Linked DNA regions of Alligator mississippiensis. The protein of the gene in region 3 purifies or fractionates together with the protein of the main gene of each other region. This does not show direct contact. Links are inferred from orthologs where the notes say so. Each region holds a gene or a part of one and is shown on either strand. Other genes may lie near its edges. The genes, in order: SEH1L, NUP43 and NUP160.

Region 1 (9,659 bases), on a different chromosome or scaffold from region 3:
GTGCTGTGAGGGAGGAGGGAGGGGTGAGGAGTTAAGGTAGGTAAAAAAGAACACACAGCAGCACCTACTGGTTAAAGGCTGGAACACATCACCCCATCATGGTGGAGGGGATTAATTAGAAGTCTTTGGAGTCTCTGGCTGTTTGCATGAACAAATCCACAGTTGGGGCGGTGTAACTGGAAACTGTCACAAATTAACACATCTCCAAGTAGTGTTAGTTTAAGGTACTAAATGGACTTTTAGAACAGCAGGAAATCCTGGGTCGTGTAAACACTAACTCAGTTGCGTTGACATAAATGGGAAATATCGTTTCATCTACACATGCCCTAAATTCCTTCTCAGTTCTGCCAGTTATGCTAGTTAAGTGACCCCTGTAAATTGACTTTCTGTTGGTGGGGATAATTACTGCTATTTTGTTTATAGAAACTTATTTTTCATTGTATATACACCATTGTATATGATTTCTTTCATTTGGATTATCCACCTTTGGACTTCTGTTCTACATTAAACATTGTAGAAATTACATAAAGCACTGTTTGCTATTGAAATGAATTAGACTCATAACTAGGGATCTACTGAAATCGTGATTGTGCAATTTTTGTGGAAATCATGATTTTGAGTGGGCTATATGCCTTTGGTGGGCTCACTACAAAAATAAATAAATAAATAGAACTGGCAATGAGAAAAGCATGCAGGAAGCATGGCAGTCTTGGAGTACAGGAGGGAAGGCAGAGGGGGGCAGGGTGGGGTGGGGAAGATGAAGACAGGGAAGGGCAAAGATAGCTCTACGGGGGCGGGATTATGCAAATAATGGAATGAAGAGGGAGGGAGGCTGAGTGATTCCCAATGAGAGTGCTGGTTGGTGGAACATGGGTGGGGTTATGTACATGATTAAATGATAGCTGGGGAAAGGAGTGGGAAGGTGGCATTGGAAGCAAGATGATGCAAATGAAGGATTGGGGCTATGGAAGGGAGGTGGGGTTATGCAAAATGCAGGGAATGGAATGGAGGTGGGGTGGGGCTGGCTCGGCCCTCTCCCTCCCCCTCCCCCTTTCTCCCCTGCCACCCCCTCCATCTTCCCCCTCTCCCCGTGCTCCAAGACTGCATACCCCAAGGTATTTCCCCTGCTTCTGGTCTTTGCTGGTTGCCCACTTCCACCATCTGCTACATATGTCAGGGTGTTTTTAAGCCTTCCTCAGAGGTGTTAGATGATGGCCACAGCCAAGGCTGGGGACTTTAACTGGGGATCAGTAAGGAATTTTACCCCATGATCAGATTGGTACAGATGGTGAGGGTTTTTTGCCTTCCTCTTTAGCTGGGGGTGTGGCCATTTACCTGGGACCTTTTGAGCATATTTTGACAACATTTAATAGAAGCAGGACATTGGGTGCCATGGTTCTCTTGCTTTACCTGTGGCAGGTTAGGATGTTAGGTCTATGTTGTATCAGGGTTGATGGTAGTCTTATGTAGAGTTTAGGTTACGGATTTATATAGGATGGTTTGGATAGGGATGATCCTGCCTCAGGCAGAAGGTTGGATGAGATGACCTCTGGAGGTCCCTTCCAGCCCTACTTCTCTATAACTTTATGATTCCGTTTCATCATGAGCCTCAGGTTCCCAAAGCTAATCTGCCTACATAATGACCTGGTTTACTCTATCATATCTGAGTCTAATTGCTATATAACTCTGCTTGCATTTTTGTAATGCCTTCCATCTAAGAATGTCAAAGTTCTTTACAGACCCTAATTAACTTAGTTCCTCTGTGATAAGTAAGTATTATGATTTCGGTATTATAGATTGGGAAAAGTGGAGCACAGATAAAAAGTTACATGACTTTCATTAGGGCACATAGAACAACTCTATAAATGGGAGAGAACTATTGAACAGTTATCAGTAATGGGCCACTCTTGACCCAGTACAGTAGATAGTTAATTATTGTTGTAGCTGTGTATAAAATACCTTTTCAGCACCATTACATAAAGTATAATTAGCATTAGTTGTCATAAATATATCTTTCTTTTTTTTGGAGCTAGAACTGAAGCCTATGGAATAGGTAACTGCAGACCTTGGATATCTTCACTCTGAAGAATGTGCCTAAACAAGTGAACCAGTGATTCTCAACCAAGGTGCCATACAATCCTTTTAAGGTACCACAGAATATTAGTATGTTTGGTGTGCAAACACCTACATATGATTCATAAGAGACATCAAAAGAAACAATAAAAATGCCTTTAAGTACATTAGAAGCCAAAGATATGCCAGGGAGTCATTTGGGTCTTTGGATGATCAAAATGTAAAAGGGGTGCTAAAGGATGACAGAGCCATTGATGAGAAACTAAACACATTCTTTGCATCTGTCTTCACTGTGGAAGATGTTAGAGAGATTCCCTGACCAGATCCACTCCTCTCTAGGGACAAGTCAGTGGAGCTGACTTCAGCTCTCTTAGCTACTCCCAGGTGCAGTCTTGGGTCCCTGACCCTGTCTCCACCTCTCCCAGGAGCTGGGCCCCTAGCCCTGACTCTGTCCTTCTCTGGGCTAAAGGTCCCTGACTGTGTCAGTGGCCCCCTCAGCCTTTAACCCCTACCCCTGGGAGCTCCCTCAGGCAGTGAGGTCTACAGCTGCCCCTGTGGCACTCTGCATGGGGCTGAGCTCCACCTGCTCCTGCCCAGGGTGGCCTGCACCATGCTGCTGCCCAGGGTTTGATTTACACTCTGACTCTTGATGCGGTCTGCAGTGGTGGCAGCCGTAAGCTGGAAGGAGCAGCCGCCACCGCCTGAGCTGCTTAGAAAGGTGCAGGGCAGGCTGGGAACTGTCATCTCTTATGGGGGAGCTTATGGGAGCCTCTCATCTCTTATGAGGGGGCTCTCATCTCTTATAGGAACCTAGGAGGGAGGGTGGAACCTTTTTTGTTCAATCCAAAAGTAAATATTTTGAATTACTGTTTACTTTTGAATAATTGATTATTGGTAAATTTTAAAACAAGATGTCATTAAATAAATGTTGTTATTTGTCAGCCAAAACAATTTGACAAAACATACATTAATTTGAAAATCATTTTGATGGACCTAAACAATATATTAAAAAAATGATACTTTGACTGAAAAAAATTACTTATTCACTAGTTGTTCTTTTGCTTTAAGCTTTGACTACATTAGTAGATCATGCAAACTGCAGAATAATGGCTTTTTTGACAGATGAATCACTCAATGACTGGAAACAATTCTTCTGGAAAAAATGAGGCATTGTTCTGTATAAATATAATCAACCATGTACGGTAAGAGAGAGGCGTGCTTCACAAAAAACAGCAAACAAAAATACCCATTTAGGAACAGTACTGTGAATTTAAGAACTTAGAAAACATTAAAGCTGTTTTATATTACAGAAAATGTGTAACCAGCTAGCTCTTTTGAAGAAGCAGTTCCTTAGGCTACAAGAAGTCCTACTGCCTAAACGTCCCTAGACATTGCTTTTTTCTGGTTAGCAAGTATTGGATGGTCCCAGATGAGTGCACAAATGCACAGCTTTGTTATTCTACTTTATTTTACAGTAAAACCTCTTTGTATTTCAGAAATGTGTAATTTTATTATAATATTCAACAACATTTGATTTCGTTTTAAATTACAGGATTGCAAACACCAAGCATGACCAACTTTACTTGTTTTATCATTATTTACACTGTGCATTTTTTACAGCTTACTTACTATATAGCAAATTATGAAAAATTAACTTAATTTTTTTTTGCATAAGATTGAAAAATGTGAAGTATTTTCAAAGCTATGTGATTATAGCTCTGCAATCCAGGCTGGCATCTTTTTTGAAGGCTGATTCTTACAGTACAGCTTCAACATCAAAAGCATTAAAACATCACTCCTATCTACTCATTCATTCTAGGTTTCCATTCAAAATTATCCATCCTATTTTTCAAAACTCCCTACGAATTTGCTACAAGTGATTCTCCAGGCTTGACCAAATTCCCTTCTGGAATAAGAGGGCACGACTTAATTCCTCTAATTTCTAGAAGGACGATTTGCAAATCTTCCTCTGCTGGTTAGCGTCTTTCTCTCTATTCGAACTCATACATCAAAGTGCTTCTGAGGCATCGCTTCTTGAATATTTGGCTGTCAGTGTAATATACCAAAATCTGAACTACTCATCTCTGTTCCATAAGCCTTAGCCATCTTTCATTCTCCATAGCTAGCAACAGTTTTACCATTTTTCCTGCCTAATGAGCCTTCTTCAAGGTACAGGTGTTTTAAACTTTTATTATAACACTAGCTAATTGCCCGTCAAGAATGAGGGATTTTAGAGTGTTTACATGCCCCGCCTCCTCACCCTTCAGGGCCAGCCATGTAAAGACTCCTTCTGCTGTCACTGCCTCTTCCTCCAGCCTCTGCTGCAGGGGCTCCCTCCTTCTGCCCAGTTCCCTTCCCCTCCTTTCCTCCCCGCCACCTCTCCTTCCCTGCCCACCACCGTGACCCCCTGCTGCTTCCCTTCCTTCCTTCCTTTTCCTTCCTTCCCTGCTGCCTGGCCCTAACAACAGCCACCACCATGACCCCCCCTTCACCTCCCCCCCGCCTGTCCAGGCCCACACAACCTCCCTCCCTCCCCACCCTGCTGGCTGTTGTTGAGGCCCCCTTCCCGTTCCCATCCCTCCCTTCCTCCCTCTCTGCCACCTGGCCCCAGGAGCCACCACCGTAACCCCCATCTTCACCTCCCTCAGCTTCGCTCCCCTCCCTTCCTCCCTGCCGACTGTTCTGGGGGGTGTCAGGGATGGGTGATGGCGGGGGGGAGGGTGTGCTGCCACCATCTACCCCACTTTGCCCTCAGGCAGGGAGGCATGGGGAAGCTTTCCTGCTAGGGGGCATGTTTGCCACTACCACAAACTTTGCTGGCAGTAACTCAAACATGGGCCAGCGCAGCCAATCGCCGCCTCCCCTCTCAGTGGTGCATGCAGTGCATGCAGGAATGGGGCACAGGACTTCATAGCTGTTTCAGTGTTTGTAATTAAAGTAAAGCAAATTGCTTCAAGTCCTTTTCTCTTTTTCTGTTTCTAGTGAGGGATCACATTTTCTAGGACAGGTGCTGTGGGAGGTGGGATCCTCCCCATAAGGGAACGTGCAGGAGTCACACTAGCATGAAGTAAAAGAGGGGGACCACAGGGGAATTATAAAAGGACCTCTTGAATGCATGGGTGGATCTAGGATTTTGAAAAGGGGGGTGCAGGTGGAGGGTGCAGGATTTTGAAGCAGCAGGGTACAACATCCCGTATAACACAAACACATTGTTCCTTAAGTGAAAAGGCAGCTAGAAGATCTACTAATATGTCAGAGGCCCAGTGCTGTATAAGATCGAAGCAAAAATATAACTTTATTGGAACGTATACTCATTTACTAGGTTATAAACTTAAAAAAACACAACAAACTTGCTAAAAGAGCCCCAAGATATTGTTGTATTAGCCCTGCAGCCACTAGAGCTCAGCCTACATCTCTCCTACAACCAAGTCTGGCCTTCTGGAGTGTCCTGACAGCGCACCCAGCCCTTCACGGTCAGTCGTGGCTGCCCCTGGGTTCACGTCCACCTCGGCCAAAGTTTGCAGCTAGAGTTGGGAGCAGGATGCAGCGCGGGGCGACCCGAGAGGCTTGACCAGGAGCGGTTAGTGGGCACGACGGGGGGCGGGGCTAGCGTTCTGCGAAGGGCGGGTGCGGAGGGCGAGGTGCGTCGTCTCCTCTAATCCGACACATTTTTCTTCAGGGAAAAGGATCACGGCGCCCCCGGCTGTCATGCGACACGGAAGCAGACACAAGTTGTGCTGCCAGGAGCCCGCAGCCCGAGCGGCGCCGACCTCCCGCCGCTGGGGGCGCTGTGCGGGCGGGGGAGCGGCGGCTTGGCGGGCGCACAGCGCCCCTTAACGGCCGCGGGCGGGCAGGGTAGGGCAGGGCGAGCGGTGCCGAAGGTCGGCGAGCGGGGGACTAGGCGCCGAGGATGTTTGTGGCGCGGAGCATCGCGGCGGATCACCGCGACCTCATCCACGACGTCTCTTTCGACTTCCACGGGCGGCGCATGGCGACCTGCTCCAGCGACCAGAGCGTCAAGGTGCGCGGGGAAGGGGGCGAGTCCAACCGTAATGGCGGGGGTGAACCCACCCCTCGCGCCTGCTGTGGTCTCGCCCGGCCTTGTTGGCGGCCGTTGGGCGAGTCGAGTCGAGTCGTGCTGTGCTGTGGGGGGGGGGAACCCCCTGCCCGCTCCCCCCCCCCCCCCGGCGTCTGCTGTGGTCTCGCCCGGCCCGTTGGCGGCGCGGGCGCAGGCGGGCCCTGGCCCGGCCGGCCTGCGGCAGCCACGTGGTTCCGGCGGCGGCGGGCGGGCCTGGGGCTTCCAGCGCGGGGCCGAGCCGTAGCCCTTCCCTTGGGGTGCTGCAGGAGCCATTTACGTTAGGTCCTGCGCGTGTGCGGGGCTGCGGCCGCTGCTTAGGTCTTTGGGGTTGGAGTCTCCTCACTTGCAAGTGCCGGGCCCGGAGGGAGACTGTGGCTACGGGGACGCCCCGGGGCCTGGGGCAGTCTGCCAGCCCCTTCTCCCGGCGGGGCTTGGGGGGGTCAGTGGGTGCTGGCTCCGCTCCCTGCTCCCCCTTGGAGCCCTCATGGGTAACTTTTGACCCCCCCCCCGACCCCTTTCCCGCTTCATTATTGCCCCCAGGTTTTGTCTTCCGTTGCCTTCCCCATGAAGGGAGGCTCATAGGTGTCTTTGTGGGTGTAGGCCTGCTGCAACCCCATTGCACGACATGCCAACAGCTTGGTTTTCAAGTTTCCTTTCACTAAGTGGAGCCATATCTGCCTTTCATATGCTGGTTTTATTTATTTACTTATTTTAAAAAAAGACAGGCATTGTTAGCAGGGAAGTTCCCCTAGAAGGTTGGCCTGGGCCTCTCTTTTGTTAACAAGGTAATAAGGGAGAAATTAATATATTTTAAGCAGACTGCGAAATGTACTACCTCTTCCTTTATGAGCATCTGCAGTCACAGCTGCATCTGCATATCACTTGTAAAATGTAGGTGATGAGTAGAACTGTATCACTTCAAATTAAGCTGATATAATGTAAAAGATAACATACTTAAGGAAGGTGTGACTGTCTGTGAAGGTGAAGGAGTAAGGTTTAATAATATGTTCAGGGTTTGCTGTTCATGAATGGTATAATGCTGCTTTTTATCATAGAAACTTTATGTTCAGTAAGTCTCATGCAGTCTCGCATGTGTGGTGGTATTCCATTTTTGGTCTAGTTTACTCTACAGGGTATTGTAACCTGAGAGATTGCACTGTCAAGTAGCCAACATCATAGCTAATGCTGTATCAGAGTACCATGTGAATGTAGGCTTGCAGGCAAAATTATTTCCCTTAAGTTTGCCTAGTGAGCAAGAATAGATTGCATATGCCTAGTGCACTTACTCCTTTGCTGTGATTGGTGACTTCTTCAGCCACTTATGTGAAGGTGCCACAGAGCGCGTCTACATGAGATGCTGACTACGCAGTAGCCTAGTACTTCTGGGCAGTAGTGTCATGTGGCAAAAACTGTTACGTGATGCTACTGTGCAGTAGTATCACAAAAAAGGTACTGTATTTGCCAGTGCTGCTCTGCAGAAACTGAGGTTACTGTGCATTTATCTAGTACTTGTTAGTACATGCATTAAATAAACGAGCAGTAATAACTGCGCAGTAGCATCTTGTGTAGACTGTCACAAAGATCCAGCTAGATTGCCCCCATCTTTTTTGGTATGTGAGATTACTGAGGAAAAGAGAGTGGAAGTGATTTGATCAAGGTCCTATACCCAAATGAGAGACATTGGGCGTAGAAAAAAGACTCCTAAACTGTTGATCTTGTGTTCTGACTGCAGATGTCCACAAAGGAAGAGGTAGTAAATTTCACAGTCTGTTTAGAATATATTAAGTTTTCTCTTACTTACTAACTTACACATTTTTGGAAATGTTTGAAGCAAGTCTTTGGCAAGATTTGCATCTTTTGTAGTACTGATATAACACTGTTACTTGTCTAAATCTATCTCAACCATGCAGTAGGTCCAATAAAAGATATCACCCATAAAAACGCTTGCCTCACACATGTTCTGGACTGTCATTTATTTTTACAACATTTCATATACTGTATTTATTTGATTCTAAGAAAAGGTTTCTCCCCTCATTTAACATTGGGGAGAAAGCCCCTTCACTTAAAATCAATATGAAGGCAGTGGGATATGTAGTTGCAGCTGCTCTCTGCCCTCACTGCCAGCTCTGCACTGTGCCATCTCCCCCTGAAGTTCCTTCCTCCCATGTCCCTACCCCGTGCAACTCTGCTCCTCTACCTGCCCCTTTCTTCCCCTTTCCACCCCCTTACCTATGCTTCATGCCAACAGGTTTTAGCCATGCTGCAGTTTGGGGCACTGCTGCTATGGACCTGGGCTAGGTCCGAGTTTAGGGCCTCAGGCTGGAAAGGGTCTAGAGCCTTTCAACACAGAGTAAGGATAAGGGAACAGGGAAAGCGGGGAGCAGTCTGGGGAGGGGAGAGGGGAGCAGAAGATTGGGACAGGATGGGGGAAAGGCAGGGCTAGGGCTGGGGGTGGGGTGGGAGGCCTACAGGGGGTAGAAGTGGCAATGTGGCAGGCACATGCAGGTGGCAAGCTACTTAACCTCTCCATGCAACCTGCCTCATTGCCTGCCCCCCTGCAGCAGTGGAGGGCATGAATTAAAGGCAATCCTCCAATAATTAGTTTCTCTACATGGGAATTTATAACAAATTTATAGTTTTTCCATGTAGAGAATCTGACTGTTGGGGGGTCATCTTGAATACAAGTAAATACAATATTTTTAAATGTCAGTCACTTGAAAAATGTTTCCATGTAAGTGCTGAGTTGCATTTGTAGTCACCGCATTAGGAATATTGAAATTTTACTTGTTTAGACTTGTCACCTAAAGTCCCAATCCCCCCCACCATTGTCTTAAAGTTGTAACCTTTATCTGGTCATATACACATTTGGCCCTGGCAATTGTGCCATTAATGTAATGCCTAACAGGTTAATATGTGATGTGACATATGTTAAGCCAATTTATGGTGCCATCAAATGGTAAACCAGCCACAAAGATGTTCCACATTTGCTCCAGATCTTTGCTGATCTTTTTGTGGCTGGTTTGTTTGGTATTATAAACGGTGTGTGGCATGTCACAGACATGAGGCTGCCCCATCCAGATGCTGACAGTAATCTGATTGGGGCAGGCCTGGGTCTGGCACTGGGTGAGGAGCTCTGGGATTCCCTACAGTTTGCAGGTTTGCTGCCTTGCTCTATAGGTCCCTTGGAGATGGCAGTGGAAGGCAGCAAACCTGCTGGGTCTCAGGGAGCCCTTCCCTTAGATTGTGTAAAGGGCAGCCTGAGTGTCAGCTTGGGACTTAGGGTGGTTGCCCTAGTCCAGTATCAGAGATTGGCCACAGGGCAGCTGTGTCCTAACCAGGGATTGCTCCCTGCTAAATCCTGATGATCAGCTGATTGTTGGTATTGGCACAGGGCAGCCCTGACAGCTGGGAGTCTTGTGATTGTGGTCTGGGGCATTTTATGCCTGATCTCTAAAATTGCTCATGAACATGTAGCATGGCAAGTTGCATGATTTGGGGCATAAAAATC
Region 2 (9,892 bases), on a different chromosome or scaffold from region 3:
TGTGTCACAACCCAAAGTTGTGATTTTGTGTTTTGTGTGTGCTTTGGCACTGCTAAATTATTTTCCCGCTAAATTGCAGCTTCTTTGCACGGTGGAGTTTTCTGCTGCAGAAGAGAACCCCGGTGCAACGGAGAATTCCCGCCAACTTGTAGCTTTCTTTCCATGGTGCATTTCTTTTTGCATCTAAGAAATGCTCGGTGCAAAGAGTTCCCGCCATTTGTATTGAAATTCGAATAACCAATATTATTGGTTCACATTAAATTATGCATACGTGGCGGCTAGCGATTGGCTTGCTAGCCGTATAAAGAGCTTGGGTGGTTTCTGCTCAAGTCGGAGTTCGAGAGAGAGAGAGAGAGAGAGAGAGAGAGAGAGAGAGAGAGAGAGAGAGAGAGAGAGAGAGAGAGAGAGAGAGAGAGAGAGAAACAAACCTTCGCCTCGCGTGATGATCTCTAAGCGCTGCGGATCCTTACGGACCCAACGCTTTTCTTAAAAGGCAACAGGGGCCTGATCAGCCTCTGGCCTCTCCCCATCGCCGATAGATTCCTAGATGTATCCCTCCCTGCGCGCAAAAAGAGATGGACCCAAGGAGCTTCAACAACTCCGTGGGAGAGAGTGAACTTGTCGTAGTCCTCAAACGAGGATTTAAGCGGAGCTGAGCCTGGAAAACTGTCTAGCCTACACCACGACCATCTTTGGTGTAAGTAAACAATCTTGAATCAACTACTACGCGTCCGTGACACATTCTAGCTCGCCCCCGGTTTTCTCCGACCCCGCGTGCCCGGGCTGCTGGCCACAGCCCGCGTGCGCAAGACGGGCCGCGGATCGCTCCCGGCCCGCGTACGTTGTACTTTGCAGTGAAAATATGTGAAAACCTTGGTCTGAAAAATAAAGTTTGACAGATGCATAAACATATAAAATGACCCCACTGACTTGCTGCCACTTCTAAGTGGAGCATGCAACACTGTATAGTAATTTAGATCAGGAATTGAAAAAGTAATGTGTAATGCAAATTTGCTGGAGGACAAAAGCAAGCTGATTCAACACAAATGATAAATTATCCAGAACATAAGTATTAGTGCTTGTAAAGTCTACCTGGCAGTACTGCAGGTCCATGACGATTACAACTTTAATAGGTGTATCAAAAATAGTTTGAACAGAGTATTTTTTAGAAAGATGTTGTGCACAGCTCCTATGCCCCTCTCCTCTAGCACAGTGCATGGGGGCAGCAAAGGACCTCATCAGTCCCTAAAGGGAAAAGATCTAGAGATGTCTCTCTATTAAGTCACTCTACAGCAGATCTCAGAATGCATGCTTGTACAGCCATTTGGGCACCCAAGTGAGAGGGAGATGGGTGAAGTGGGGTAGATAATGCCTCTATAGCATGCAGGTTAAATATAATTGTTTTAATTTTCCCCAAACATCAATAATAAAATCTCAATTACTTGAATTAAATCTCTGTCCTCTGACAGTCAGATAACTCCTCTAAGGTTTGATTTGTACATGTGTTCCTAGATGTCAGTGTATAGGCTAACATCTGCTGCTGCTTCCTTTTAAGCTGGCCAGCCTTGGGGAAACTGGCTTATTTTCTGTAATCAAGGGAACTGGCCAGCTGGCTCTAAACTCTGCACTAGGATCACAGGAGACCTACTTCAAAGCCTATTGGTCCAGTCCACTGATTATGTGAAGACATCTCTTGTTTAATGAGACCTCTGAATAATGAAGCATGATTTTCCTTAATTTTAAAACTGCTCCTTTCTGCAAATTTTGTCAAAAGGAGAGTGAATTCGCTTGAGATGTGTGAGAGAGAGTTCCTCAAATCGTTACATCTCTCTTAGTCTCAATGGTTTTGTATAACCTGATTTGTGAGGGTATAATGCAGAATTTTTGTACTGTCCACGTTAGCCTTCTGTGTGATGGCTGAGGAAAGAGATAAGGAAGATTATTACAGGTAATAACTTCAGAACAAGAGTACAGAAGAGAAGCTTAGTTATTATAAAGGTCACTGGCTATAGTGCATTTAAAGAGGGATCTTGCGAAGGCTTACACATATGCTTAACTGTATTGCAGTCTGAGCACAATGATAAGTCTTTGCAAAATCAGGGTCTTGGAGAGATGGGGATAAAAATAGAGGTGAATTTGCAGAGTGTTATTTGTGCCATTTCAGGCATATTCTGCCAGCTTTCATGACTTCAGAGTTGTATTAAAAAAGGAAGTGTGAAGGGAAAAAAACAATAGAATTCTATTTTCCAAGCTGGGGATATCAGCACCAGAGTGGCAGGGGCACAACTAAATCCTCTGCAGTTATTTGAATGCCATAAACAAATAATACATTTAGTCAATAGATTTACTATTATTTTAATACATTTTGGAACTGAAAAGGAAGGAAAGCTAAGACTGTTTTATTGATGTACACTTCAGTGAAGCAAACAAAGTACAATATTTTTACTAGTTGTTTTAAACGTTCTACAGTCACAAATCACCTGTGTGCCAACAGAGTAACCATTCTTGTGCATGTTCCTGGGTAAAGCAAGTCAGCTGTTAATTCTGGATGGGTTTTATTTCCTGGTAATATTTGTTTAAAGGATAAGGAGAATATCAGTTTAGATCCATCATCATTTTTCCCTCAGACAGATCATTCCCAGCAATCTGAAGGGATGCTCTAATTAGTCATTTCAGACAGACAAAAAAGACCAAGAACTGTGGTCCACTGTGCATGTAATCTATTAATGAAAGGTGCAAAGAAGGCAGAGTTGCTCAGTGCTTTTCCTCAGTTTTCACAATAAAAACAAACTGTGACCAAACAGTTAACAAAATATAGACAAAGAAGGGGAAGGACTATAACCATAAGTTAAGAGCACATCTGAAATCTCTTGACAAACCTGAATTAAAGTCATCTGGACCTGACAGAATTTATCCCAGTTTGCTGAAGGAACAAGTTGCAAAAATCTAGTTCTGACAAAAAGATTTGCTAAATCATAACTGACAGGTGAAGTCCCAGAAGGCTAGATACAGGTCAACATACTCCCTCCCAGAAAAGTTGCCAAACTAAATTATAAAACAGTCTATTTTATAAGTACCTAAAGGAAGAAGGGGTGGTTATTAATAGCCAACATAGATTTGTTAAGAACAAATACAGCAAAATCAGTCTGATTTCCTTCTCAGCAGGGAAGGTAATTTGACAGATGGAGGGAATGTAATGGACATAATATATTTAGACTTTAGAAGGGCTTTTAGGTATGGTTGTATATGAAATTTTCATAAGTAGACCATCTAGCCCACATTTAGGTGGGTATAATTGGCTGAATGACTGCAACTTGAGAGTATAAATGGATTAATGTGAGAATGGCAGGAGGTTTCAAGTGGGGTTCCACAGGGATCTGCTGTAGTTTAATATTGTTATCAATTATTTGAAAGTAAGAAAAAGAGTTTCCTGATCAAGTTTGCAGATGACAGAAAACTGAGAAGAGATGCAAACACTTTGGAGGACAGGATTAGAATTAGATTTTGATTGCTTGGAGAACTGGGCAGTAGGCAACAGAATAAAATTCAACAAGGATGAACAAAGTGCTACACCTATGGAAGAAAAAAACAAATGCATAATGGGACATTGGCTGGGTAGTGCCATTGCCGAGACATATCTGGGGATTTTGGTGGATCAGAGACTTGCCATGACTTGGCAATGAGATGCAATCTTCAAAAAAGCATATGTAATTTTGTGCTGCATTACTAGGAATCTAGTACATGTATATATTATTACCAGGAGTATAAAAGACATGCAAAAGAGATCTTACCACTCTATGCAGTGCTGGTTAGGTCTCAACTACTGTATTGTATGCATGGCTCCACAGTTTTAAGGATGTGGAGAAACATGAGAGTATCCAGAAGCAAGTGACAAAGATGATAAAGCAGTTGGCATGCAAGCTGAAAAAAGGTTGAGAGAACTAGGTATGTTTAGTTTGGAAAGAAGAAGATCAAGAGGGGGAGCAGAGGGGAACCTGATAATAGTTTACAAATATTCTAAAAGGCTGCCATAAAAAAGAGGGAGCAACTGTTCTTCCATGCTGCAAAGTATAGGACACACAGCAGTGGACTTCAATTGCAGCAAAGGAGTTCTAAACTAAAACCAAGGAAAAAAACACTTTAAGTGTAAGAACAGTAGGCCGGTGGAAAAAGCTGCTCAGGGAAGCTATGGTATCTCATGCAGTGGAGGTTTTCAGGAGGCTGGATCAGTGGCATAACTAGGGTGGGGTAGGACAACAGCCCCACGTGCCAATGCAGGGTGCCAGGAGCATCACACAGCACTCTGCAGCTGCTGGGTGCTCGACATTGCCCCACGCTCTGGAGCCCAGCATCCTCCCCCGCCCCTCCCCGAGGTGCTGGGCACCATTTCTGCCTAAGATGCCAAAATTGCTGCATAAACCTCTAAGCTGGATGGTCTGGGAATAGCAAATCCTGCATAAGGACAAATGATTGGACTGGATATCTCTTGAGGTCTCTTCCAGTCCATGACTCTAGGAGAATTTTCCAAGTTGGCTTTTTTATTGTTTTTTACATCATAACCACCAATGAGCCCACACTGGAGTCTGTGGTCTCCATCTTAGATGAGGTCAGTCAGTTGCACTTAATCTAAAATAAGGAACTCATCAGGAAATTAGTGTGGACTTCAAATGCTTGTTCCAAGACAGAAATGAGTACCAGAGAAGGAGGGAAAAAGTGGGAAAGAAGCCTTTAAGTTGCTCTGTAAAATATAAAGGAATAAAGGAGTATATAACTATCCATCATCTCAGATTGGGCCCTGCCTGCTCTCCAAGGTATATATATATATGTGCTTTCAGAGGTGGATCCAGGGCTGGGGGGTGCCCTGGCACAATTCTGATTCCCACTCTACCCAGAGATTAAAACCAAGTGCACGGCAGTGGCAGCTGCATGTTTAGTCAGGCAGTGCTGGGGGGTCTGTTGACTTCATGGCTCATTGCAATGCACCTGACACCCTGTAAACCCTTCCCTCCCTCCAGGGTGTTAAGGCCCCTCTGCTCAGCAGCCCCCACGTTCAGCGACCCCGTGCTGGGCAAGGCGCTGTAAGGTAGCGGCTCCTGGGGACGAAGCTCCCATTTCACAGCCTTGCAGGCTGTTTGGAGCTCATACCAGTGAAGTGACATCTGCTTTGGCTTCAGTCTTCAACGGAGTAACAACTCCCGGCCCGCGACAGCTTCTCGTTTACGGGTAACGGGAGCAAAACACACACGGCGTCATCTGCACCCACTTTCCCCGAGCCTCGATCCGCCCACGTCCTCTTTCCGCCGCATTTCACTGTCACCTCTCCGCGCCTATCGCCAATGCTCCAGCTGCCGGCAGTGCGGACTAACCTCCGCACGCCTCCCCTCTCCCTCCTTGCCTTTCTCTGGGGCTACGCAACAGCCAAAGACCCCGCCCCCTCCCGCAGCCTCTCGCCTTTTCCAGAGGCAACATTTTGTCCCTACTCGCTTCCGGTCTGCCGAGACGGCTCCCGGCCAATGGGAGGGCGCGCTTAGCGGCGGAAGAGGCGGGGCGGTGTGGGGTGGCGGGCGCGTGCAGGCATGGAGGATTTGTGCGCCAAATTCGTGTCGCAGAAGCTGAGCAAGGTCCGATGGCGGCCCGTGCCTGCTACTGCGCTGCAGCCGCCAGAGCTCTTCGCCACCGGCTCCTGGGACAACGAGGTGTGGGGGCGGGGCGCGGGCCGCCGGTCCTGGGGTGGGGTCGGGCTGGCGCCTGGGAATGAGGGGACACGGCTGTGACCCTGGCCCTGCTCTGGGGGCAGCCCCGAGCTCCTGTCTTCCTCGGGACACTGCAGCTCCTCGCCTTGTTACAGCCGTGTGGGTGTGCCTGGTCGCCCCCGCGCTTCTCCCGGCTCGCTCCCGTGTGTTTGTGTGCCCTCCTGTTGGGGAGGGGGGTGTATGTGAACGAATCCTCCTATTGTGGGGAGGGTACGGCCCTGTAAGGTGTCCGTGCACCTTCATGGTTATGGCTTTTTCTTCTGGGTAGAAAAGGTTCAGCCTCTTAGTTAATTTACTAAGTAGGTTTGTTGTTAAGAAACATCCATGCACCTCTGCAGGCTGGGGGCTGGCTAGTTGGGCAGCATGTCTGCAGAAAAGGACCCAGGGGTTACAATAAGCTGGATATGAGCTAGCAGTGTGCCATTGTTGGGAAGAAGGCTAACAGCATACTGGGCTGCATTAGTAGGAGTGTTGTTAGCAGATGGAGGGAAATATTTCTTCCCCTGTATTCAGCACTGGTGAGGCCACATCTGGAGTATTCTGTTTAGTTTTGGGCGCCCTACTACAGAAATGGTGTGGACAAATTGGAGAGAGTTCAGACGAGGGCAACAAAAATGGTTATGGGGCTGGCGGACATGACTTCTGTGGAGAGGTTGAGGGAACTGAGTTTATTTAGTTTGAAAAAGAGAAGACTAAGAGGGGATTTGATAGCAGCCTTCAACTACCTGAAGGGTGGTTCCAAAGAGAGTGGAGTTGGACTATTCTCAGTGGTGGCAGATTAGAGCTATGATCAACAGTCTCAAGTTGCACCAAGGGAAATTGTGTTTAGATATTGGGAAGAATTTTCTCACTAGGAGGATAGTAAAGCACTGGAACAGGTTACCCACAGGTGGTGGACTCTTCATCATTAGAGGTTTTTAAGACATGGCTAGACAAAGCCTGGGCTGGGATGAATTTGTTGGGAGTGGTCCTGCTTTGAGCAGGGGGTTGCACTAGATGACCCCTGAGGTCCCTTCCCTCATTTTCTACAGCTCTGTGATTGGTTACTTAAAAAGCCCATTAGAGTGATCCCACAGTTGTTAGCTGCAGCCTCTGCCTCTATTAGCAATTTTCTAGTTTCAGCCTTTCATTCAGTTGGCGATCCCTTTATCATCCTTCTTGTCTCTATACCAGCTTTCCCTACAGAATGTGTTTCTGGCAGAGGAGATCTGGTTTACCCAACTGACTTTTTGTTTTGGTTTGTTTTTTTTTGCTGTCTTGCATGCATAGGAAGCAAAGTCCTACTGGTTCTGAACTGTCAGTCATTGTCAGCTGTTAAAAGCATTTGGATCACAGCAGGTCTTTTAGCCCTCTTTAGTCCCTTTGCTCCTGGTGTTCCTCAGCTTTGTCATTGACTATTAGAGCTCATCCTGGAGTGTTAGCTCGTGATGTCTGATGGTAGTTTTTCTTAATATTGGTCCTTTATTTTTCCTTTTCTTAAACTTGACTCTTGAAAGAGGTTGAAAGCTTTGATGTATTGACAAATTTGTCCAAACCTTTTTCCAATAAACTAGCATCACTAATCTAGTGATGCTTTTTCTCCTACAGGAAAACAAGATTTCCATTTGGTCTGTTGGAGATGCTGAAAGTGTGTGTCCCAATGGGGAATATCAAGGAGAACCACAGTTGTTATGTGATATCAGACACTATGGTGATGTTATGGATATGCAGGTAAAATATTCAGTGTTATTAAAATGATTATAAAAAGAACAAGTGGATGCCAAAATATTGAAAGTCAAATAATTTTTCTGAGGAAGGGGAGGAAATACATTTTTCAAACATTAATTTATGTGTATGCTCTGAAATCTAGACTACTGTAATGCCAAACCTATTTCTGTGTTGTTACATGTTCATAGTAGTAAGCTTAAGTATTTCTTCTTAGTTTTTGGATCAAGAGAGAATTGTAGCTGCTTCATCAACTGGAAGCGTAACTATATTCCGTCACCATCAAAATAACCAGGTAAATAACTTGTTCTGGCTATAAGTTAAACTTTGCTTTTTGCCATTTAAGCTTGTAATGCAAGTTGCTTTAGTGCTTGCGAGGAAAGATTCCTCAGGGGAAAAAAAATAAATCATGAAGTATCTGAAATTCTGAGTACTAAAATTGTGAAGAATTACAAACCACCATTTTTAAAATGAGGAGAATGGTACCATGTCTGTCTGGTTTTTTTTGTGCATATATGGAGCATTTCGTTAATTATCTGATAGACTATTCACCTGGGGGGAAGCATGTGCCACAGATTCTTTTTCTGTACTCATGTCACCAAATATGCTTACAGCTTCAGTGAATGGACTATAAATACATGACTTGATTCAGTTAATGGTGACTATTTCTGATTCTTTCTAATGATGCTTATTTTTTATGAAAGAATACCATCCTCCGTGTGTGTGTTGCCATTTTAATTTAGTTCTTGCTACTGCATAATAAAATGAACACAGAAAGGGTTGTTATTTTGGCAGTTGCTTTTCATTACTGATATTAAGTTAGTTTTTTAAATCAAAATCCAATTGCAGGTTAAATCCTGTGAAGAGACTGGATCCAGGTAAATGACCATCACGGGTCAAAGAAGATTCCCAGCTCATAAAAATAAATGGTGTACTTGGTTACCTGAGGAAGGGGAGGAAATACATTAGGCATTGAATACTACACCTCAGTCCACATTTTTTTTTTTTTCCCTGTTTATATGATAAAACATTGGCTATCTGAATATTGGTTAAAGTGCACAAATTCATAGGAACTCCCCAATGTACTTAGTAATGTAACTGCACTCATTTAACTATGTAATTGAGGACTCCTCTAATCAGTTCACCAATTTCATTTGGTTTCAAGACAGCTGTTGAAGACCTATGGTTAGGGGTCTACCTAAATTGCATTGGTATTTACTAATTTTCAGTGGTTGATCATGACAAAGTTCTAATTCTGTGGTCATTTTGTAGCAGCCCTGGCCCTCAGTGTTGATTGATTGGTAGAGTGTCCCCAGTGTGGGGAGGAGGGATGAGGGGGCAGCAGCTGTCTCTCCTGCTGCCCTTTGTGTTGCCCTGCCAGCTGGCACCTTCCCTTCCACGGCAGTGAGGACTGCTGGCTCCCACTGGGGAGCAAGCATTTAAATTATTTTTGTTGTTGTTGATTTTGGACAATCCCAGATCTTTGCGGTTTCCACACAACCTGCCAAACCGCAAATTAAGTAGATCCCTATCTACAGTATTTTGGAAAACTAGATAATGAGCCTTAATGAAGTGTAAAAAACTTAGTTCACATTTCTCATTAAGTTTGTATTGAATTTTGCTAAGTGCATAGTCCACTTTCAGTCTTGAGGCTTTGCACTTAAATGAAGTACAGTAAAATTTCTGCTACGCGGCATTTAACTAACTGGAAATTTCATTAACTGGAATTTCCAGTTGGCCAACCAGACACAGAGGCGGAGACAGGGGAAAGCTTGTACGCAGCAGTAACTGCTGCCACCCAGCACCTGTGCTGCTGTTATGCTTTCTTGCCCTGCTACTGGGGGTTTTCAAATAATCAGAATTTTTACATAACCAGCAATCCCCTTACCTTGGGGATGCTGGATAACAGAGATTTTACTGTACGTGAGAAATTGACTTTTCTTTGCCAGGGTTTCTTTTTACCTGCTAAGATCCTGAAGTAATTAAATTGAAATGGGAGTATTCAGGTTCATCAGTCACCATCCTTCTTGGGACATAGTGTGCAGTTATGCATTGAGGAGTAGAAAGAAATAAATTACCTCTCTCTTGCTACTTGAAAGATCCTCAGAATAGTATAGTTTGCTCTTGTTTTATCAGAACTAGTCTCTGATACGACTCCTAAATAGTTCAGAAAATTTAGTTTCTCATGCTGTGATAAGAGTGCTGAATAGAATACTTATAATTTATTTTCTATTTGCTATTTTAGACTTTATCAGTATCCCAAAAATGGGAGAGGGTTCATTGCCATGTAGATTCAGATACATCTACCTGTGGTGGTGCATCATGTACAGGGATCATTTGCAAGAACCCAGAAATTGTTACTGTTGGAGAAGATGGCAGAATAAATCTCTTTAGAGCTGAACACAAACAAGCTGTGAGAACTATAGGTATGTTAA
Region 3 (10,355 bases):
CACTGATTAAAATAACTTAGTAAGCCATCTCTGAAATAGCTATACTAGTTTAAATTCACCCCTTTGGTTACACAACAAAAACTTCCCTGCATGGACAAGGCTTTAGAGCAGTGATTGATAACCTTTTAAGACTGACTGGCCAAATGAGCACAGACTGCTCTGAAGGTGGGTTGCCACTCCTCTTACCAACACCATGCTTCCAACTTGGCTGCCACTTCCAACTCAGTCACTTCTATTGACTTAGCACTACACTCTTGACCCAGCCATGGAATCATCGTCACTGCCCCCCACCAAAGAAATGCTGTCACCAACTCAGCTTCATGGGCAGGATAGCATTACTTAGCAGGTTGGATCCAGCCTCAGAGCCATATATTGTCAACCCTGCCTCAGTGCAATTTCCAAGCAAACAAACCAACATTAACAGTCCTGGCTGACTACACACCGACAGATAGGTCAAACATTCCTATAAGTACCAGAGGTACAGCGATACATCAGTTCAATATCAGATCAGCACCAATATAAAGAAAAATTGGCTGCATCGGAAATTGGCCCAACACAGCCAATAATCTGGCCAATAATTTTTGCCCTGGGTCCCATTCACCACCCTGGCTGGGCAGCAACCCCAGTCCCATTCCCTCCCTCACTGTGGGTGCCTCATTCTGCACCCCCATGCCCCTTCCCCTCCACAGACTTACCTGCAGAGTGCTGCACAGCACGCAGGCAGCAAGGAGCACAGCCCAGCAGCTTGAAGAGCTGCGTGCAGCTGGTAAGTCTGTTGTGGTGGAAGGGGAGGGGGAAGGGAAGGGAACCACGGCTCATCTGGGGGGCGCATACCCCCCGGATCCATGTGGGGCGGGCAGGCTGCAGCTGCCAGCTGGAGCCAAGGCTGCGACAGGCTCCTCTCAGCAGGGGCTGGGCTCAGGACAGGCAGCCACAGTGCTGAGAGGGGCCTATGGGGGGCAGAAGCCACCCCAAATTTCACCACAACTCCCTCAACCACCCCTCCGAGTGCTGCCACCACCCACCCAGTGTAGCCCCGGCTCAACCCCCTCCACCCACATGCTGGAAAGAGCTGGGGCTGCAACAGGTAGGCAGCAGCGGCACTGACAGGGAGGGCTATGACAAAATTGGGGGGGGGGGGGGGGGGGAGGGGGGTGTTGCTGTAGCCCCTCCCGTAGCCTCCTCCCAGCACAGGCCAGAACAACCTGCACGGGGGAGAGGTAGCTGAACCTGTGCCACTGCCATTTCTCCCAGTCTCCCGCTGCTCTGTTGTGGCACAGGTGCAGCTTCCAGCTGGTGGGGAGCAGCCACCAGTTCTCCCCACCTGCCGTCACCTCCCAGATGCAGTGCAGCTAAACCACTTACATATTAATCAAAACCACAAACATATAGATCCAGAGGTAGTGCTGTAAAATTAACTATATATATTCACTCCTAGGTGCAGTCATGTACTGTGATCTGTGTAACCAAAAACAAGCACTATATAATTGCATTATCACCTTCCCTGCACTTGTCTATCTCTGAAGCCATCTTAAGACTCCCTGCAAAAAGTGGAAGCCCCACTTATTTGGCACCAGACAACACTAACCTGATAGCAGTTGGCATCCAGCCTGTCAGCAAACGCTGCATCACTGAGCTCTGCTTCAGCTCCACAACAGAAACCATTCCTAGAAAAACAGAAGTGTTAAGCTCTGCGTATAGGGGATGTGTGCTGTTGATGCAATAGTTCACTGTCACTAATACAAGATGCAACTTGCCTCATTTAGCATTCATTTTTGTTACAGTTACTAAAAAGAGAGTCAATGGCAGCTGAAATCGAAAACCAAAATAGGAAGTGTCATGGAAGATGAAGAGATCAGCCTGGCCCTTTTCAGAGGGGAAGGGGAAAAGCTCAGGCTGGCCCTTTTCAGAGAAAAAGGGGAAAAGATCTTCCTCAGGACTCTCTGCTATCAGGCCTAGACTGCTATCTGCTCCCAAGGTGAGAAGGGGCATCCAAATGTCCTACTTGGAACTATTTACAAGTATTATTTACATTAAAGCCTGCCCACACTGAGCCCCCTCAAAGTGCTCCCCCATTGGAACTGCAGGCTAGAACTTAGCCACCTTGCTTCTTATATCATAGACAGGCACTGTCATGACTGGGATATGCTGGCTACATTGTGTTATAAAGAGCAACTGACGATGGCCCTTACATTTGGCTACAGGCTGCTTTCCATGGATTAGAGACTTTTCTTCCATGACACATTCTACACAAATACAAAGTGGCAGGACAGGACATGCTCTGCTCTAAGTTCTTACCATGCACATCATGAGGTGGCAATCTAAGGATAAAAATTCCTCCTGAAGCAGAGGGCAGAGCAAAGAGAGCCTCCCCATCACTGCTAAGCCAAGCAGCTGAGGCTGTGGAATTAGATGCCAGTCCAGGGATGTTGGGGATCATGTGGTAGCTTGACAGGTCTCTAAAGTTAACCTTCCCAATATCTGTAAATACAGACTGCATCTGGCTCTCTGTGATCAGCTCCTGTTAAATAAAATAAAAACAAAGACTCCAGACTGCAAAAGCACAAAGAGCGGTTAGAAAAATGTAAAACTGGATTTGTCCGTGGAATGACAAATACCTTTAAAAAACTACTAGCTCCTGCTTTGTGAAATTAGTTCTTTCCAATGAAAATCAGCTAAATTCAAACCTGTGTCTCTCTACCTTATTTAACCAGCAAAGCTAGGCTATTTAAGGGTGAGTTTCAAAGGGTAGGTAGAACTGAGAGCTGCCAAAACACAGGAACTTAGATCCTACTCTCTCTCTCCCTCCCTCCCTCCCGTACCTGCTAACATCCCAGTGGCAGTGTCCACACCTGCACCAGTGTTTCGCTCAATACCTGCTTCAAGTCTAAACAGCTCATTCTTAGCAAGTGCCATGAGTTAAATTTCTATGAAACAGCCTGGAGCTAAGGTGGTGGTCTGCTGGCCTGATCCTGCAAATGTAGAGACGGAACAAGTGACCCAAAGGGAGTGGAGATCGCAACACCTCAGGAAGGATACTGAGAAAAAACATTAACCTAATGACTTTTCCCACAGGAAATTTGCACCAAGCCACACCTTCCTGCCCATGCAAACAAGAGCGCTTCCTACTTTGTAAGCCAAGCGATACATCTAGCTGTGACCACCCCACAGGAGACAGTTTCCTGTCATGCCTGTCTAGGTCCCTTGCCCCTACTCTGGGCAGCTGAACTTGGGCAGCCCAATTCTCATCACCGGGGCTGGTGAAGGAAAAAGCTGAGAGGCAACTTACACTCCTGTACATGCGGGCAGGGTGGGGCAACACCAGCCTGTGCACGGTCTGGTTGGTGACGATCAGGAGGACGAGGTGGTTCTGCACCTCGCAGAGGTGGACCCCTCCAGGCAGCAGGAGGCAGTTCTGGATCCGGAGCCGCACGGCATTGTTCAGCAGGTTCACATCCAGGGACTCCTCCACCAGCTCCACCGTGTCCCCAGCCGTGCTCCTGCAGGGGCAGCGCAGCCTGTTCACACCCGGCGACCAGGTCCCCCCAGCCCCCGCGCGGCCTCTGCCCAGGGCAGCGGACCCCCGCCCCGCCCCGCCCTCACCAGTGGATGAAGCGGTTCCTGGTGGCCGAAACCAGCTGCGCGCTCTCCCGGTAGCAGAAGCCGCCGGCGCTGTCCCCGAGCCGCGCCGCGCCCGGGCTGGTGCTGGCACCTGTGGGGAGCCGGAGGGGGCCGGGATTAGCGGGGAGCCGGAGCGGGGCCGGGCGCGGGGGCGCGGGGCCCGCGGGCGGTACCTGGCGGGCTGAACACGACCTCCCGCGCCCGGCGCTGCGGGCCCCGCGCGGCAGCGCTCAGCTCCATGAAGCTCCGCTCCGGCAGCGCCGCCATCTTCCCTTCGCGCGCTTCGCCGCCGCGCGGCACCACGGGTCCGGCCCGGCCGCGGGGGCTCACGGGACGGGGGCGGATCCCGCTGCCGCGTCATCAGCGGGAGGCCCCGCCGCGCCCGGGCAGTATGGCGTCCTAGGGGCAGGACGAGGCGAGTTCCTCGTTTCCCGTCTCCGCTGGTTGTGGCGCGGGGCCAGGACGGGTGTCTGCTCCACCCCCGCCGACTTGTCTGAAGGTTTTAAGGGGGGGTTTGCGCTCTTCTCAGAGGCCCCGGGGGCATGTTGACTGAGGTGGGCCCTGCTACGGGGTCTTGTTCGTCTGTTCCTGGTCCGATTGGTGTGGCCTGGGCGGGGGTTGCTTTCCTCTAGTTGTTTTTAAATTATTATTAATGTATTTATTTTTATTAGATTTGCATCCGAGGCCAAATTAGCCCAAACCAATTCCAAATCGAGGAGTCCAGCACCTTAAGTGGCCCTGCTACCGGCAGGGGTGTAGGTTGTAGCCATGTTGGTGTAAGGACGCGGGCAGACAAGGTTCTTGGGGTGAATCTGTCTTTTATTAGACCAACTTAAATAGTTGGGAGTTTTATTTTAGCAAGCTTTTGGGTTTAAAAACCCTTTGTCAGGCTGAGGAAGTTTCAGCAGTGGGCATGTGCTCTTCCTGCCTGGAATGAACAGTAAAGAAGCCAGGCTGGGCTGGTCTTCGTGCAAGACAGGCAGTCAGTGAATACATCTACTGGCAAACATCCTCCACCCCATCTGCCTGGGCTTCACATGTTTCCAAAACCTTTGGCGGGCATCCTACTTGCAGGCTTGGGGTTTGGATGCCCCTGAGTTTTGCTCGCCCTCAGCCATAAAGCCCTCAGAGCAAGCTTCCTCTGTTGTGAAACTCTTAAGCAAATATTAACAACCTTTTGCAAGAGCAGGATGTTGACTGCTGTGCCCCCGCCCCTCCCCCCAGCATTACCTGTGCAGGTTAGGGTGTTCAATCCGCTCTGTGTCACTGTTGACCGAGTGGTTTTACTAAGAGGTTACGTTATGGATTTGTACAGGATGGTTTAGATAGGAATGATCCTGCCTGAGGCAAGGGGTTGGGCTACATCAGCGTTTCTCAACCTGTGGGTGTGTCATCATGACCCAGAAGTGGGTCACAAGAATATATGAAACAGTCATGAGCAAACTTTAAAAATGGATTCTCCATTTTCCTGTGGGCGACCATGGCTTTTCCCATGCAGGCTGGCACAGTTCCAGCCTTTGAGGGCCTGCTTGCGGCCCCTTTCGCGGTAGTCAGGCCCGGGGGGCTGTCAGTCAACACCAGGCCGCTTAGAAATCAAGCTTTGGGTCAGGTAGGGCCCTGCACAGCCTTCTTCTGGAGAGTACCCTAATGGTGGAGTTGTGTTTTTTGGAGTGACCCAAGATGGATTTTACCCTGTAATGCCAAACAAACTTGGCCCCTTATTCAGCACAATGTTCTTGATATGTGATATTATATTACAGTCCTTTAGCCAATATACATAGTTAATGAAATACAGAGCTCTGCCATGATTTTTTTATTGCTAACAAATTTATAATCACGGGAAGAGAAACTCTGACATTGGAATGGGGAATGACAAACTGGAAACTAGAAATAATGTACCAACTTCACCCTCATAAAAGCCCTTGGGCAGGTTCTTGGCTGCATAAACCAGCATGGCTACAGGGTCTTTGGCTTTGTAGCTGCAGATAGCTAAACATTGTAACTTTTCTTGGATCAAATCTGCAGTATGGGGCCACTGTCAATCATCAAGTTATATTTTTCAACACAGAAGCATTTGAGAAAGATTACAGTCCAGACACCATGCTGTAGCTAAATGGGTACATCATTTCTTTCTTTGCCTGGGGTCGTGAAGCATGCACTTATCATGGAAAGTGCTTCACTACTTGGTGGTGGCAAATAATGGAAAATGCTGAAAGGAAGAGGGGTTTTTTTTCCTTGCTACCTGACAATCAAAATTAAATCCCAGCTTCCACTGCAACAGATCGCATGTCATAGGCCCAGAATACAAATAAAGCAGGGACAAAATGTGCTTCCAACTCTAGCTGCATCAGAAGGATTTTTAATGTTCCTGTTACTATTTAAGGGCAGGGCAGTTGGGGGTTATAGCAGACAAGCATGACATGAATTTTCCAATGAGTTACTGAACTTAGGAAAGTCACAGAGCAGTGACTGAAAGCTGCAGTAGTAGTTTGCTAAGTAAATTCCTCCAGCAACATGACAATGTCCGGAAAAAACCCTACCAGTGCATGATTTTAAAGCAGAGGCATAAGCCATGATTCAAGAAAGCATAAAGCATGTATTTAACTGTAGCCCGGAGTAGAAGCTGCTTTCCTTATAATCTAGTACAGCGGTTCTGAACCGGGGGTATGTGAGATAACATCGCCTAGAATTAAAATGTTGGTTGATAGTAAGCAGCAGCAGCAGGGTTCGCACTAATAAGTTTTGGTATGTTTTGGCATTTGATGCTAAGTGTGTGTGGGGGGGGGGGGTTTGCACCACTTTTTCTGTGCATGGAATAAAGTTTGTTTAAAATGAAAAAGTCGTTGTATGAGGATCTTGCCATTTTTATAATACACGATTACACATAGTTTGACATAAAAATTAATTTCCCATTGAAAGGGGGTATGTGAAGTCTCACTCTGAGACCAAGGGGTACGTTGACTGAAAAAGGTTCAGAACTGCTGATCTAGTATATTAATTCCCCTGGGTAGCCCAAATCCAGCACAGAGCTCTCCCAATGCTCTGATGTGGTGCTAGTGCAGGGGTAGGCAAAATACTGCCTGCAGCCTGCCAACCGATTGGATCCAGCCCACAGGCTGGCACCCGCCAATTGATCATATCTGGCTGGTGGCTGTCCCTGTGGTGCTTTGCCTGGGGCTGAGCCCCCGCTCCTGCCCAAGGCAGCCCTTTCCATGCTCCTGCCCCTGGCAGCGTGCACAGCTTTTCAGCAGGTCTGCAGCTGCCCAGGGATGGCTTGGCTCCTCCTGCCCCTGCCGTACCACAGCAGGCAGTGCACAGCTGGGGCCAGGCAGGGAGAAGCTGCAGCTGGGTGGATCCCGCCTCAGTGAGCAGGCCTCGGGCTTTAGCCCCCAGCTCTGCCTGCGCAGTAAAGTGAACAGCGAGTTACACAGGCCAGGGGTGCCAGAGACACCTTGGCCTGGCCCTGCGCTGCCACCGCCCTGCGCTGCCACCACCCTGCACTCCTGTCCCCGCCTGTCCCACTCCCCAACGCTGCTCCCCACCACCTGCAGCCCCATCCCACTGGCCCAAGCCCATCTCCATGGAGCCCCCAGGATCTTTATTTTTTTAAATATATTTCTAGGGAGAGAGAGAGTTATATATATATATATATATATATACCTCTATCATAAACTTTCCATCACACATCTTAAAACTGCATTAAGAAACCCACAATTTCCATTACAATAAACGTGTCTGTGGACCCACCCTCCACTCTCACCTACCCCAATTGCAGTCCTCTAGGTCGAATGGTCACAAACTACTACAAGACCGTTTCAGGCTGGACATAAGGAAGAATTTCTTTACTGTCTGAGCCCCCAAGGTCTGGAACAGCCTGCCACCGGAGGTGGTTCAAGCGCCCACATTGAACACCTTCAGGAGCAAACTGGATGCTTATCTTGCTAGGATCCTATGACTCCAGCTGACTTCCTGCCCTTTGGGCAGGGGGTTGGACTCGATCTTCTGAGGTCCCTTCCAGCCCTAATGTCTATGAAATCTATGAAAGCCAGAATGTAATTAAACAGAAGGGGAAAAGAGAGAGAGGAGCCAATAGTATGGTGAAGGAAAATGATGCATAGGAGAGAGGAACCCTAAGGCATGGGAAGAATAAGGATTGGGTCCTCAAGTTCAGGTCCCCTCAAGCTGATAGGGCTGGGAGTCAAGGATCAAAAAGTTGAGGCCAACACCTTTTGAGGCTACTTGCCTTATGGTCAACCACTTCCTGTGACCAGTTGGCAATGCTAGATCACAGCCCCATCACATCAGGGCCTCCACACAAACTAAGTACCATGGCTCACCATTGGCACTGATGCTTCTCAGACCAACATACTGGAGTTCATGGGTACCCGATCTCTTCCATGCCCCATCTTGCTGTCTTTCATGATCTCTCTTCACAAGTCCTGTTCCCCGCTGCCCATCCCCTTTGGTTCCCTTTCATTCTGCCCAGGCCCCACACGTGCCCTGCCACCCAACTGTAAGACAGGTGGTCTGGTAAAGCAGGCAGAACCAGCATCCAAGTCAGGAGGTTCCAAAGAATATGTCAGGAATTGAACTAGGGCTCTGAAACTAAGGAAGCCAAGGCAAGAACCAAGATCCAGAAACTGTGGTCAAGGAATCCAGGATACTGGGATCAGCTGTTCAGAAGCAGAAATTAGGCTAGGGCAGGAGCAAAGGAGATTGAGGCAGGATGTGGGAACTATGGTTGGAGGTGTGCAGGGTCAGGGGGACACGTCAGGGCTGAGATATGTTGTACATTGCTTGAGTTGTCTGTAAACCTGAGGTGTCAGGTAAGCCAGCTAAGGGACAAGCTAGTTCACTGGGATACCTTGCACTGTCTGAAGTTGGAGGAATTGCTGTAGGTCCAGTGCCTGCATGTCCATGCTCTTGTATATTGACCTCTCCTTTGAGGAGTCATGATTCTGGATCTAGACCTCACCCTCCCCAACTAGGTGCAGTCCATAAACCCAGAGGAATATGTGCTTCATGGCAACTCAGTGGCCCATGCTAAACCAATCCCCAGCACTTTACCAGATTCCACTGCATGCTGGTGTCCCACCCTTCATTGCAAGGCAACAGTAATGGAAGTCAAGGGAGGAAAGTCAAGGGAGGATATAATCTGGAAGGGAGAGGTGAAACATGTGCAAGATGCAGAGGCAGCTAATACCTGGGTAGAGGCTGGCTACTTGGGATCTCCAGTGCCCTTTCTCAACAGAACCAGACACACCTTTATAGAGGAAAAAACTGAAGCACAGGCCTCACCCAGCAAGTGTAAGGAAAAAAAATCCAGGAGTCCGGCTGTCCAATTTCACATCCCCCTAACAATGTGCCAGAGGAACTAAAAAGAGACAGACAGCCCCATCCAGCTGGTGCTATAGGCTTTTCATCTACAGCTGTTTTGGCAGGGATGCAGCAGTGGGACAGAGTGGGTACCACAAGAGTGGTACTAGAAGATGAGTGGAGGTAGAGCTGACTGTGACTGCACCAACCCATGACACACAGGGCTACTATTGCCACCCTGGGGGGACTACGTGGGAGCAGCATAGCATCCTATGCTCTGGGCCAAACAGCAGGAGATGGAAGCAGTGTTTTATGGAATAGGCCAGGACAGCTAAAGAGCAGATTCAAGGACACCATAGTCTGTGCTGGCCAACTGGACACTCCCATAGGTATGAAATATTCCCTCACTCCGAAACTGGGGAATCTACCTTGAAGCCCTTATCCCCATAACATCCTCATTATGCCCCCCCCCCTCCCTCCGGCTATTTTCTGCAGCCTGAGATAAGTCCTGCAGCTGTTGTGCTGAGCACACCTGCAAAGGGTGTTCTGTGCCGGTGAGGTCCGTACCAAGGGAGAGTCAACACCCCACAGCACTTCCTAATTTTGGTAGGGGCCTGTGCAGCACCCAGCATAAAGGAACCCCAGGACTGGTGCAGAGCTGTGACTGCCTCCCCACCCCACCCCACCCCAGCTGGGTGCAGGGGATTGGCATAAAGTGACAGTGAGTGCATCTCCATTTTCATTAATGCCCTTTTGGTAATGCACATTTAGTACCTCCATTGTGAGGTACTAAAAGAAGGCGTATTAGCCTATTTTAATGCAATAATTACATTTAATTTATTTTAATTTAATAATTAGCAAAAGCACACTTTTTTTGGATGCTATACACAGAGCCGTCTCTAGGGGTGTGCGAGGCCTAGGGGTGGCAAACAGAGGTGGGGAGGGTAGCAAGCAGCCGGAACACAGAGCCGGCAGTGTGCAGCAGCCACGGCAGAGCTAGTGCATTGCAGCCACCACAGTGGGGCCTGTACAACACTGTCTGCGGGGCCCCCCCAAAGCATGAGGCCCTGGGTGGTTGCCCCGATTTGCTCCCCCACTAGGGACAGCCCTGCCTATTAACATGCAGGGAGGATGCTCTGATGCACTGTAATTACAGCACATTGGAGCAGGCTCAATTAATCAAATCTGCTGAAGCATGGGAATTACCGTGTTCCAGCAGGCTCCAGCATCACGTTTATCAGCATCCCTGCACTGAAACATGGCAGCGGAAGAGCTTTACCTAAAGCTTGTTCCAGTGTGGTTACGCTGGTACATGCAACACACTGGGCACTTTAATTGAAGCGGCTCTCAGAGCTGCTCTAATTAAAGCACTCCCCCCCCCCGAAGCACGTCTATAAATGCCTTTTTTGATGCTTTAA

Evidence for each region.
Region 1: the proteins of NUP160 (region 3) and SEH1L fractionate together in Homo sapiens (co-fractionation; 3 studies listed by BioGRID and IntAct, with this or other methods). This does not show direct contact. The link is inferred for Alligator mississippiensis from reciprocal best matches to the Homo sapiens genes NUP160 and SEH1L.
Region 2: the proteins of NUP160 (region 3) and NUP43 purify together in Homo sapiens (affinity purification with mass spectrometry; 5 studies listed by BioGRID and IntAct, counting the BioPlex papers as one, with this or other methods). This does not show direct contact. The link is inferred for Alligator mississippiensis from reciprocal best matches to the Homo sapiens genes NUP160 and NUP43.

The regions. Positions count from the first base shown.
Region 1 is NC_081826.1:97,972,196-97,981,854, forward strand, and holds the start of SEH1L (nucleoporin SEH1), read left to right. Parts: upstream 1-5,913; 5' UTR 5,914-5,983; coding exon 5,984-6,094; intron 6,095-9,659. UniProt on the Homo sapiens protein: Component of the Nup107-160 subcomplex of the nuclear pore complex (NPC). The Nup107-160 subcomplex is required for the assembly of a functional NPC.
Region 2 is NC_081824.1:129,003,580-129,013,471, reverse strand, and holds the start of NUP43 (nucleoporin Nup43), read left to right. Parts: upstream 1-5,535; 5' UTR 5,536-5,576; coding exon 5,577-5,696; intron 5,697-7,340; coding exon 7,341-7,463; intron 7,464-7,674; coding exon 7,675-7,752; intron 7,753-9,702; coding exon 9,703-9,883; intron 9,884-9,892. UniProt on the Homo sapiens protein: Component of the Nup107-160 subcomplex of the nuclear pore complex (NPC). The Nup107-160 subcomplex is required for the assembly of a functional NPC.
Region 3 is NC_081825.1:171,293,271-171,303,625, forward strand, and holds the start of NUP160 (nuclear pore complex protein Nup160), read right to left. Parts: upstream 3,925-10,355; 5' UTR 3,889-3,924; coding exon 3,795-3,888; intron 3,713-3,794; coding exon 3,604-3,712; intron 3,501-3,603; coding exon 3,290-3,500; intron 2,522-3,289; coding exon 2,299-2,521; intron 1,668-2,298; coding exon 1,589-1,667; intron 1-1,588. UniProt on the Homo sapiens protein: Functions as a component of the nuclear pore complex (NPC). Involved in poly(A)+ RNA transport.